Schizosaccharomyces pombe: one gene and its partners. The protein of the gene in region 2 purifies or fractionates together with the protein of the main gene of each other region. This does not show direct contact. Each region holds a gene or a part of one and is shown on either strand. Other genes may lie near its edges. The genes, in order: ubc4, cul3 and rbx1.

Region 1 (3,582 bases), on a different chromosome or scaffold from region 2:
AATATATATCTCAGTAATAATGAAATCAAAATTTTCGTTGATTTATACTCAACATCACAGCATAAAATAGCTCAATAGACGACGTTGTAAAGACAAATACAAAACTAGGAGTTGAATTGACTGGCTATTATGAGTTGTGTCTATAGCAGTATCACTTCGTATTGCATGTCAAGTATTATCATTTTCTTTTCAGCAAAAAGGCGCTACAAGGAATTTGTTTATTACTTAGTTTTGTTTAATAAATATTTTTAGCAAAACCTTAAAGACGTAGAGCCGTTTACTCTCTTCGTAACACGACTTTCCATTCGTGTTATTCTACTTTTACTTGCACAATATTTCACTTAATCGGCAGTGTTTACGTACCTTTTTAAAAATATATGCACAAACGCTCTTGGAATAATCCAACTGGACCCATTCGGTCTTATTAAACACAAAGAAAAATTTTGTACTATTCAAAAAATCATAAAAATTATCTAAATCAAATCATACTTTATCCTCGAACATAATACAGTTTGTTTTAAAGGCAGCTTGTATCCTCAATTTTACGATGCAACTTTACTAGCTACATTATCGCCATCCCCTACTATTTATTTAAAAAACCAAAACCAAAAAAAAAAAAAAAAAACTATACAATACATTGGAGAAAACAATTCGCAAAAGAGATGAATATTTAATATCAACACAGAAACAAACTCTAGATTGCGTATTTTCTAGTCCATTCACGAGCACTTAATTCATAACGGGATCTGTCAGTTTTGTAGACGTGCGCAATTTCAGGCACAAGCGGATCATCAGGATTAGGATCTGTCAACAATGAGCAGATAGACAGTAATACCTTTGATATAGTCAACGCTGGAGACCATTGGTCACGAAGGATATCCAAACAAATGCTACCGTTTGAATTGATGTTGGGATGATAGATTCTGGTTGTAAAGTTTACCTACGAATATGCTGTTAGTTATCATTAAAAAAAAAAGACTATCAATCAGATTCGTAATGCTACGCAATGTAATTGCCCTCGCTTCACTTGGATGGACGCAATCGTATAAAAATCGATAAAGTTCCGCTGGTAAAACATAAAGAAATGAAGATAAAAGGTAAGAGTAAACAATTATAAAAAAACTTCTGCGTATACTCTTTCACCATAACACTTAAAAAATTTTGCATCACTGTCAACCATACCGATTTTTCCAGAAAAACAAGATGCAATCAACTCTTCAATTCATATTGTATATAACAAACTTCCTCCTCCGATTCACAAGCTTACAATGCGTATTTACATAATCTACACAAGACTAAATAGTTACATACCTTTGGTGGCTTGAATGGGTAGTCCGTAGGGAAATGAATGGACAAGAAGAAGACACCACCCGCATAAGGGCTGTCAGCCTATATATCATGTTAGCTGCACAATCCTAGCAAGCAAAATTTTGGCAGTGCGCAAGGCACTATTACAGCCGCGACTTACAGGACCCATGATTGTAGCTTGCCAATGGAATAAATCATCGCCAACAGGGCCGGCGGAACAAGAAGACGGTGGGTCTTTTCCAAGATCAGCTAATTCACGGTTAATTCTTTTCAAAGCCATCGTTACTGGTTTGCTTTTGCGATTTTACAAAGTCAGTAGTTTGCTCGTGGAAGAACGTGGACGGAGGTAGAAATAACATATAACCGATGGATGCACTAAATCACACGAGTTCGACTTTGTCTGAGTAAGCAATTTTTCAGGATGGCGCAACTTGCTTTGTACCTGCAAAATACCCGCTAAACAGTTTGTTATCCTTTTAAGGATACGCTACGTTACGATAAATTTTTTCGGGATCCAGCATACTATTGTATTACAAATAGGGCAAAATTAAAGAGAATTACAGATATTATATTATGGGGGCGGTATTATAACGATTTATCAATAAAAGAGCTTGTAAGTGAACTGAAGAACGAGGATCAGTTTAACTGACGACATGATGGCTAACTCAGAAACTATTTTACTTGTGAAATACAATATAGACTATATCAGTATCTTCCCGTATTTAGCGAATAGAGAAACCGGACAGGCGATATTTGATGATATGCGCCGTAGCGACCACAGCAGAATACACCATTGCTCAAAATATCGACAAAATTGTTAAATTACTATAACGTAAAAAATGAGCTTGCCGTTCCACTTTAAATATATAGTGTTGATCATATCTACTAACTTAGCTAAAATTGACAAAGTGGTAATGGGAGAGACTAATGTATAGCTTTGGTTTTATAAAGTGTTACTTAAGTCACGTTAGAAAACTAGCTTATATCCACTGTGGTTATTATTTTCTGCCGGAAGCCATTTTATAGCATTGCTTTATTTGCTCTAGTTATGCATAACAAAAAATAAATTTGCACAAAAATTTTTTGCCCATTTCGCCATTTATAATTAAAAAGACTAAAGTATACCTTTGATTGGAACCATAATCCAAGATCAAATCTGTATTGCTTCACAGCATAACCATAAATGTGTTTGCATACGTGTATTATATACGAAATATAAAACAACAAATTTGAAAATAAAGCACACGACCATTCTCCAAACCCCTGTGTTTTTAGCGTATTACTCATTTATTACAATGTGCAAAGACCAAGTCTCAGTTTAAACAACAAACGCATTTGTAGCGTTGTAGCACCGATCGAAAACTGTTTTTCAACAACTTTCCTTCTGTTACAGCTTCGCAAACTCACTAAATATTTCAATCTGTAAACTACATATAGTTTTCATAGACATTAAAGAAACATACAACTGAACAACTTTGAAAGTATATTTTAAGATCTATAAACTTTCCATAAGTTTTTTAAAATTCGCCCAAATCAGGCTCATCGTCATCTAAATCTGCCTCAGCCATTTCTTTATCCATACGCCTACGTGCCTCTTCCACACCTTCGAGTTCACTTTTGTGAGCATCCATGGGATATCGCATACTTTTTATGCTGTCATTATGAAGGGCAAGACAAAACTGAATACGTTCATGAAAAGCTTGTTGAGGCTGCTCGGTGGAATAAATATCCATGGCTTCGTTACTAGCCATAAAGGCATTACTATGATCGATACTTGCATCAATAACTCCATCACGGATGCCCTTAGCAACAATGTACTCGGCACTCTCTTCACTGTCCAAACCAAGCTTTATACAAACATCACGAAGGGAAATACGGGAATAAGATAAGGAGATCATCCTCAATCCAGTCTTAATGACGGTATGGCGAAGGCGGCATATCAAAGTATACAATCCATCGAAGCGAAATTCAGCCTCATACTTGGAAAGCGCGTCAGTGAAAGCACAAAGGTCACCAATACGAACTGCCTGGCTAATACGTAAGTAAGGCACTAAAGTTTTTTCGAGAGATTTTTGGCGGAAAATGCGGCGTTCGGGAATTTCTCCCATAAGCAATTGTACGACGATGTGCAATTTGTAAACAGCTTCCAGAAATTGAACGGCATATACTGTGTTGGGAGCCTTACGTATAGCACTAACTAAATGTTCATGAGCGGTCGTGTAGTCAAGTTGAATGGCGCGAATTCGACCCAAATAGTATTGGTAGCGAATTGCC
Region 2 (5,360 bases):
AAGACGAGTAGGATATCAAAAAGAGCTTTGTATCTTAGCTTAAAGTAAGAGATTGTAATCAACCTTTGGCAACCTTGCGGATACTTAAAAGTGTTTGGTGGTTAAAAGGAAGTGTGGTACGCGGAACCAATTAAATGAAATTGGCGAACAAGTGGGGTTCGTTAAGATATTTGAGGTTATTTATACAATTTCCTAAACAAATAGAATTAAGCGGAGAATATACAGAATAGCATTGAACGGTAGATATTTTTAGGGGTTCTTCCGAGATTGCTAAAGAGGATAGCGTAGTCCGTTAGGAAAGAAGAATATTCTTAATGTAAACAACCAGGTGTTTCAATACTAAATCAAATACATAGCTTTATTATTTGATTAACACCTTAAAGATTATAAGGAGCTTTACTTGCTCTGGTATTTTCGATGTTATTAGTAGAGTCATCATCAAAAGCATACTGTGTAGGATAGTGTATTTACGGCGAATTCGCTTCCTCCCATAATAATTTTTTAGGTTAACACTTCCCATCTATCGTTGATCAAATACCTTAATCTATTTTAAACTGAGGGTTTTTCTGTTTTGGTCTTTTTGTACAATGTATATGGAACAATGTAATTTAAACTCATTACTCTACTATCTGCTCGCAGAATTAATGTATCAAATTTTGATTGATTTGGAATATAATCTACCTGTTTTCAAACCTTCTTATAGCATTACTTAAAATTTTCTTTTTTTCAAAAATAAAAAGGAAGTTGGTGTAAAATTCATGAGTGTCATTATAATCACAAAGCTTTTGCTAGATATCATCTTGAACAAATTGGTATCTTTCCATTTAAACATGATTTCTCGTATACGAATATTGCATTTCGTGTAACAGTTAAGGCTGCTATGCTAAATATTCATAAATGCGACCATTATCGGCTTGTCTTTGTAGGTACTCCCGCTCTATTAAAGCTTCAATTCGTCGCTTAATCATCATCGGACTAGGGTGGAAACGAGGGTTTAACTGTCTTGTAACCTCTGCCATCAGCTGATTGTGTTCGCACACTTTGCGATCCCTTAATTTACTGTTAGTAAAAATGTTTGAAAAAAAAAAAAAAGGAAAAAGACATACTTCATCACTCTAACAATACAGGCATCTGCTTGATGCTTCCTTGACTCGTCTACCTTCTCTAATGTACGTTTTCTCTCACTATCATCCTCAACACGAGTCTGAGCAACTGTCGATATTTTAATCCGGGCGAGATTTGAAACAAAGTTCTCATTGAAATAAAACTTGTCACCTGCATTCACCTCCCTTCCTTTTGGATCCTTTAGCAAAATCTTGTATTTTGCACAAGCAAGGGACTGAAGATTGCGCTTCAAATCCCCAACTTCTATATTGGTTTTTTCCAAAATCTCCTCAAAAATTAAACACTGATTTTCTTTTAGGTCTTGGAAAAGCAATAGAATAACAGATGCAATAGTCGATACATTCAAGTCATATTTTCTGTCTTTGAAATTAACACGGACATCAGCACTTCCCTAAATAGGATTGTTAGTGTGACGCAACAAGCAAATAAAAGTTTACTATACCATAGAAGGATACCACAATAATTTTCTCCCCGTATGTTTCGATAAATAAAAATCCGTAAATTGATCTATCTGAGCCAGGAGAACTTTCGGAAAGTTACATTTAATTTTGTGAGGCGATAAATCGATGGGCCAAAATGTAGAAGCCAAAATTGAAACGTTTAAGTCCAAAGCAGGCTAACTGTTAGTATAAAGGATTATCAATAAAAATTTCCACTAACCTTGGCCGACTGTAACGCAGAATTATGTTTGTACTCCTGTAACAATTCTTGTGAAAGATTCATATCTAAGCATTAATAAGGGAACGCAAAAAAACTTGCTAAAGTCTGAATACTTACCATTAAACATTCCTTCGAGCTTTTGAGTAAAAACATTACCAGCTTCTTGTTTCAGCCTACTGATCATTCCGAGCTCTGCATCGGAAGATATTGATCGATTATTCAACAACCTAAAAGTGTTAAAGACAGTAAAAACAATTAAAGCATACCTTTTTGCAAGGTGTGTTTTGTAATATTTTTCAAAAACATCTTTTTCTGAAATAAACCGAAATAACGTAACAGAATTTTGAAGTGTTGCTTCAATAGAGCCTTCTATTGCTTTTCTAGCATCTTTTTTCAGATTGTCATCAATGAATAGTGAAATGTACTCGGGGGCTCGGGTATATCCGTCTACGAACGTAACAAAAGCATCTGATAAAGAGTTCAAGATAGACCGATCAGCATCCATAGTAGTACTTATAATTGTATTTAGTCTATCCCATAAGGCCAAAACTTTTTGAACCCATAATGTTGCCATTGTAGCATTAGATGATAGACGACCAACAGCCATCTTTCCTTCAAGCGCTTGGCTAGTAGTTTCATTGATTAATTTTCCATGATGCGCTACATATTTCGCCAAGTATTTTTTTAAAGACTTCACGCCAAGTTCCACTCTAGAAAAGCTTTCGTAAACCAATTGAAGACCCTCGAAGTTTGAAGAGTCGATCATCGAGAAAAAGCCAGTTGATTGATTTTCAAGCAAATCGTCCAAATGTTTACTCAAAAGCTCATCTTCAACAACGGATAGAAGGGGGCTAGCTATTTTTGTGAACAGGTAATTCTTGGACCTCTCCTTTTCTTCCTCAAATCTTTTCTCTGCTTTTTTCAGATACTCCACAACTCCAAATACGCCGATGACTGTTGATGATTCTATTTCATAGAAATTTCTTGTGTAAGATAAAAACTTTGGAGCAAATAAAACATCATAAAGAGTTTCCTTTTTGTTTTCTGAAGGCAAAGAGTTTAGCATATCTAAGCAGTCATTTATTAAGGGTCGATTTATTGTATTCCCTTTACGTTCAAGATAAACCAGAATTAGAATAGTTTCGACACATTTCTCTCCAATTTCAAAACTATTTAACAAAACAACTTCACGAAAGATATATATTCCGTTTTCATTAACAGGAACTTTGTCTGCAGATTTTGAATAAACCTTGTCCAAATATTTTAATACACTAGATATCATTTGCATTGAAACAATGTGATCCTTCCAGGAATTAACTAAAGACGATAAAAATCTATGAGCCGCTTCCAATGATCTCGACCATGAAGTAGAATAGGAATCATTTTTTCTAATATCCAATAGAGCATTCCCTAATAAGGAAGCGTCATAGTTTTTGTAAATAGCTGGAACAGTTTCTTCTTTAAGCCTCGATCTAATAACATCCTGTACATGATTATAAAGCTTTTCTCCATACTTATGTAGAACAAGTATATATGCATTTCTATACAACTCTTCAAACGATAATTGAGATGTGCTTTTCTGAAATATATCCCCAATAGCTCGCTGCAAGACTTCCCAATGTGTAGCAAAGTCTACTTGGTTAGCAGAAAACTAAATGTCAGTATGTGAGGAAAATAATAAGGACAGCATGCATCAGGTACACTTACTTTTCGTGGCGCTCGAATTTTTAACTTCGCTGACCGCTGCATTAATAATGGAATTTAAAGTTAAGTTTCAACAAAAAAGCTAAATATATGGGCATATGAGTTTGCATAAAGAAACGCCAGCACAGACGGAAGTAATGGTACAAAAGGTGGTAGAAGGTACTAACTACGAACAACATTCTCCGAACACAAAAATTTTTCAAACATAATGTGGAGCTTTGCACGGTATACTCAAAAATTCTGTTTACGAAATTTGCAGTTAAAAAATTTTTCAAACAAGGTAAAGGTTTCAAGTTTACTTTTCTGTTCCCCGAATGTGAGAAACATTTCTAATTGGCAATGCAAACGCTTCACTCAAAGCGATGCTAAAGATCTTGCAAGTGGTGTTCCCTCTGTAAAATCAGATGCTGATCAATTACAACCTAAACCGACTTATAATGTTTCTTTTACTTGTACCGTGTAAGTATTTATAATTTCATTGAAGGATACTAACCAAATGAAAGATGTAACACTAGGTCAAATCACAATTTCTCCAAGCAGGCCTACCATAATGGGACCGTTTTAGTTCAATGTCCTAAGTGCAAAAATCGGCACTTGATGGCTGATCATTTAAAAATATTCTCTGAAGAACGGGTGACGATTGAAGACATTTTAGCTAAGAAAGGGGAAACTTTTAAAAAAGGCTATGGTCAAGTAATCAATGGCAATGTTGTAGAATTTAAGCCCCCTCAATTTAAAATTCGACCAGCAAAATCATCTTCTTCCAATTCTTCCAAATGAACTAGGAGAGCGATCAAATTGGGTTTAGGAGCATATAAATTGCAAGATATAGTCATTGTTTATTTTAATTTCTATAGTATATATTATTTTTATTTATTTTTGTAATACTTTGGTCAATATATACGACGTTCTAATAGAACATTTAATTATTATATGAGCTTGTTAACTTGAAATTATCTTTTGAATTTTTAGACTAGATGTGATAATTTAGCAATCATTGAGCAAATCATATCCAAAAAAAAATAAATTAATTAATTAATTATAAAAATTAACGATTTTAGAGATCTAAATGGGCTATACAGAATTATTGCAAACGAATGTAAAACATTTTTCAATATATAAGTTGCTAATTTACCAAAATCAAAATTTAGTCTTTAAAGATGCTTAATTAATATTTCTATTTTAATAGCGCGTTTTGTATAGTGCTGACTATTTTATTCATTCCAATAAACAATACAAACTGAATTTATTATTTTTAAAAATATAATTGATTTCATCATACTCTCTCTACCTTACTCTTAAAATTATTTACGGACTATGAAGCTGACACAAAGTGTAAATTACGCAGTGTCTTGCATTTTGCTAGTGAACACCACTAGGTTTGTTTACTCTATGATATTTTGAGAACCGACCATCTTCTTTGCTGTTGGTAGGAGACTTCTAGGATGTTACGTTTATTTCGATTTGATGTTCTTGAGACTTCGACCAAAGATACTGAAAGACCCAATTCTAAAAGTTCACGGTTAAGTTCGACTTCTGGTTCAAGTCATCCATCTTCATCTTCACGTTTGACCGTTCGAAGCGCAGTTCCGGAAAAGAGCGCTTTTGGTTCCATAGAATTTATTTTTTACTTTTCTGTCATTCTATCGATTCTAACAATTGCTTGTTTTAAAATTCATTATGTTAGTTCTCGTAAGTGTCAAAAGCTTTAATCAGCCTTTTCTATTTATCAATTTGAAATAAAGTAAGCAACTAACTAGGCGTCAGCAAAACATCCCAATTACAAAAACATTGAAAAATATTTAAAGCCTGGGTGGTTGTTTGGACAAAAAGTCGATTCCGCTGATTTTCAGTATTCCGCGTTTCGTGAA
Region 3 (3,271 bases), 1.1 Mb from region 2:
GAGATGGATATATACACATTCAATCACATAGGGATGCTTTTTACAGTCTTTATATAAAAAGTATCCGACTTTTTAGTATCACTTAAAAAGTCAGATGAATGTAGGTCTCTCTATAGTGGGAAGTGACGAAGGCGACAGAAACATTAGTATTAGGCGAATAAAGAGTCAAAGTACCACGAATCTTTTTATGCCTACCCACTATTAACGAAAACACCAAGTCTGATAAACTGAAGGTTTTAAACATCAGATGGTAATTTTCATAAAGCTGTTTGTTCTTATTTAAAAGTTAACTGAATTTGTGAATTGATTGGCAAGTATAGAAAATCCGTGCACTACTGAGCTTTTGTATCTCACCACTGACATTCTTCTCGAAAGCAATGATTCGCATTCTGTCATGCGATATGCAGCATAATGTCTGTATGCCTATTCAATTTTAACAATAGCACTTTAGAAGTATGCCATTTCTTTTGATGATTTAAGTAATGTTCTAATTCTTCAAGTGTATACAAAGTAGTGATATAATGTCTTAATTTATATGATGTGTAGTTAAAAACTGTCTGTAGGAAATTTTATTTGACAAGCAATAAAATAAATTGATATATTCGTCCACTATCTGAGTAATTGGAGTAAATAAATATAAATAACAATTCAAAGTCACATGGAAACTTAAACTAGCCACAAGTAGTCATGATTTTAGGAAATTTTAATTGATTCATGTCATTTCATTAATAAAACGCTCTGCTCCATTGAAATATTTTTACCAACAAAAAAGTAAGTACTTAATAAATGTTATTAATGACCTGAGATAAAGTTAGTAAAGTAGGCTCGTCTTAATATACCCTACCATAACGTTGGAACTCCCATTCACGATTGTCCAAAGGACAAACATTCCTAGTGTTTAACCATCTTGAGATGCAGTGAAAGTGAAATGCATGCTTTTGTATTTGTTAAAAACAGTCCTGAGCTAAGAATACGAAAGAAATCGAATTAAAACTTACATTACAAGTTCCCCATGCCACTGTGCACTCTTGAGCAGCAGCAGAATCGGTGTTAGCTTGACACTCAATACATAAGTCCATAATATGATTTCTGCAGATAGCACAGTTATCTACAACAATGTCCCATTGCCATAATGCTACAGCATTCCACTAAATTGAAGGTAAGCAATATGAATCAGAAGAACTCATAAAAAAAGCAAAGAGAGTAAACTAGTACTTAAGTGTATGCTTATTTTAAAATAGCAAATATATCTTTGGGTATTAATTTTCACAGTTTACTTTGCTTTATGGCAAATTTGATACACATGAAGAACATGATCATAAAAATAATGACGAACCTTTTTAATTTCAAATCGAGGAGGTTTTTGTTCAATTTCCACCTCCTTCTTGTCTATTTGCATTTCATCTTCCATTGTGATGAGTAAAATAGAGCAAAGCCGCTACTTCGTTTTAAGATGAGATGTTTAAGCGGTGTGATAAAGGGGGTTGAAAATTGCAGCTTCGCTAAGCAATACTCAAACATAAGATAATTTTTGGAGTAATGTAATAAATTTTGCTAAAACACAAGTATTTAATATAATAAATAATGGATCATGGATCTTTCAATCGCAAAATGCGTACTCAAAAAATGAAGGATGATTATTCATCTGCTGTTTCATGAGTGTTTAGCACTATATCTATTTAGCTACATTAAATTACTCAGTTTGTTTAAATGTGTAAACTTTTAATTCTATGTTACATGATGACAATACAAGTTTCTTAGATATTATTTGTATTATGTGTGCTCGTTAGACATCTATTGAATAAGTTTTGTATATAATATCGAAGTACTGAAGACGGTTTCCTACAAACGTTTCAACCAAAATTAGTAAATAGCCCTATTTATCTATAATATTGTACCTTCTCTAGCATATCAAATTGAACACATTCAGCGAATTTTTCTGAAGTAATAGAGCTATTTTTTATTATTGTATTTCATCCAAATATAAATACCTTGGAAGTGAAATATACAAGGGAAGTTAATTCCAAAATTGATTTATTTTTAACTTGTATTGACTCTGAAATTCAAGACTGATTGAAAAAAGCTTTATCCATACAATTAATAAATAAACCATCTCAATATAACAATCGTAGAACAAGATGCAGTTAATGTTTATTTTAGTCCAGCATATTCGTCTTCTGATTACAAAAGTTTTCAAAAGTAGGTTGCACTATTTGTTGTAAATGGTCTTTGCTAGTATGCAAAATTAATAATAGTTTACAAAACTTGAAAAATAATGAACACAAGAATATCATTTCTATAGATCGGGTGTATCTTTACTAGGATTTTAATTTCCGATTATACACAGCTGCTGCCTCCTGTGGCTCATTTGATTACTATATTATTGCGATCGTATAGTCATTTGTACTAAACAAACCTCGTATATGGCTTTTTTTTGTAAAAATTTCTACTAGTTTGACTGCTTATATTTTGCTAAAAATGTCTTTAAAATGATCGGCATCAAATTGTATGGTAATTTCGTTGAGTAAACATTCGTATCTACAGTGATTTCATCGTCAACATCGGATTTCCTTCAATTTTTGAAAGTTATCATCAAAGAGATTTAAATGATAGATGGAATATATTAAGCCGAAAAATCTGGTTTTCAAGTTTACATCTGTTAGCAAATTTTAAAAGGATCTACAGCTAAGTACCGTGCTAAGAGCATGCCAAGGGGTTTTGAGATATCTCGCTAAGTTTAAAACCAAAATACTGTGTAGCTATACAATGCACTAAAACTGGCAAAGTATAATAACGCGGAAGCTACGTTCAAACTATTGGAAATGTAACCTGCCTAACGAGACGCAAGGATATTTGCATTGGGGATTGTCAGCTTGAAGTCGAGCTGAATGAAATGCTAAGCTTAAAATCAAACAAATGAAATTTATAATTAACTATCTTTATGCAAGCCTGTGCATATTAAAAATCGACTAATACAAAAACAAGAAACAAATTGAACTTGTTAGTAAAACGAAAGAGAACGGTAGCGATACTTCGTTGAGGCAAGCATGTTTTGGAATAAGTAGTTTTTTAAAAGTTTGGAGCCTGTCTACAAACATTTTGCAACATGAAGAGATCATAGCCTACGGATCTTGAATTTGAGGAAAAAATGCTAATGTACTTTTACTTATTTACATCGCTCTGTCATTAATTTTGTCTTTTTTTTTTTTGTAAAAATACTCAATTCTCTAAAATATATATCCCCGTCAAATGCCAAAAGAGCAAACAAAAT

Evidence for each region.
Region 1: the proteins of cul3 (region 2) and ubc4 purify together in Schizosaccharomyces pombe (affinity purification with mass spectrometry, with the first as the bait; one study listed by BioGRID). This does not show direct contact.
Region 3: the proteins of cul3 (region 2) and rbx1 purify together in Schizosaccharomyces pombe (affinity purification with mass spectrometry, with the first as the bait; one study listed by BioGRID). This does not show direct contact.

What each region holds. Positions count from the first base shown.
Region 1 is NC_003423.3:713,339-716,920, reverse strand, and holds ubc4 (ubiquitin-conjugating enzyme Ubc4), read right to left. Parts: upstream 1,637-3,582; 5' UTR 1,589-1,636; coding exon 1,469-1,588; exon of another isoform or gene 1,390-1,468; coding exon 1,312-1,389; exon of another isoform or gene 1,154-1,311; intron 941-1,153; coding exon 695-940; 3' UTR 610-694; downstream 1-609. Other genes in the region: 19S proteasome regulatory subunit Rpn3, read right to left, coding at 2,826-3,582. UniProt on the Schizosaccharomyces pombe protein: E2 ubiquitin-conjugating enzyme that catalyzes the covalent attachment of ubiquitin to other proteins. Mediates the selective degradation of short-lived and abnormal proteins. Mediates ubiquitination of pex5.
Region 2 is NC_003424.3:485,082-490,441, forward strand, and holds cul3 (cullin 3), read right to left. Parts: upstream 3,634-5,360; 5' UTR 3,535-3,633; coding exon 3,493-3,534; intron 3,437-3,492; coding exon 2,052-3,436; intron 2,013-2,051; coding exon 1,903-2,012; exon of another isoform or gene 1,851-1,902; coding exon 1,786-1,850; exon of another isoform or gene 1,742-1,785; coding exon 1,568-1,741; exon of another isoform or gene 1,517-1,567; coding exon 1,107-1,516; exon of another isoform or gene 1,051-1,106; coding exon 879-1,050; 3' UTR 642-878; downstream 1-641. Other genes in the region: TIM23 translocase complex subunit Tim15, read left to right, coding at 3,698-3,948, 3,993-4,269; gup1 (MBOAT family O-acyltransferase), read left to right, coding at 4,935-5,181, 5,257-5,360. UniProt on the Schizosaccharomyces pombe protein: Probable core component of multiple cullin-RING-based BC3B (BTB-CUL3-BTB) E3 ubiquitin-protein ligase complexes which mediate the ubiquitination and subsequent proteasomal degradation of target proteins.
Region 3 is NC_003424.3:1,573,550-1,576,820, reverse strand, and holds rbx1 (SCF complex, Cul4-RING and CLRC ubiquitin ligase ligase E3 subunit Rbx1), read right to left. Parts: upstream 1,477-3,271; 5' UTR 1,412-1,476; coding exon 1,337-1,411; exon of another isoform or gene 1,149-1,336; coding exon 999-1,148; exon of another isoform or gene 936-998; coding exon 845-935; exon of another isoform or gene 821-844; intron 801-820; coding exon 793-800; 3' UTR 514-792; downstream 1-513. UniProt on the Schizosaccharomyces pombe protein: Component of E3 ubiquitin ligase SCF complexes, which mediate the ubiquitination and subsequent proteasomal degradation of target proteins.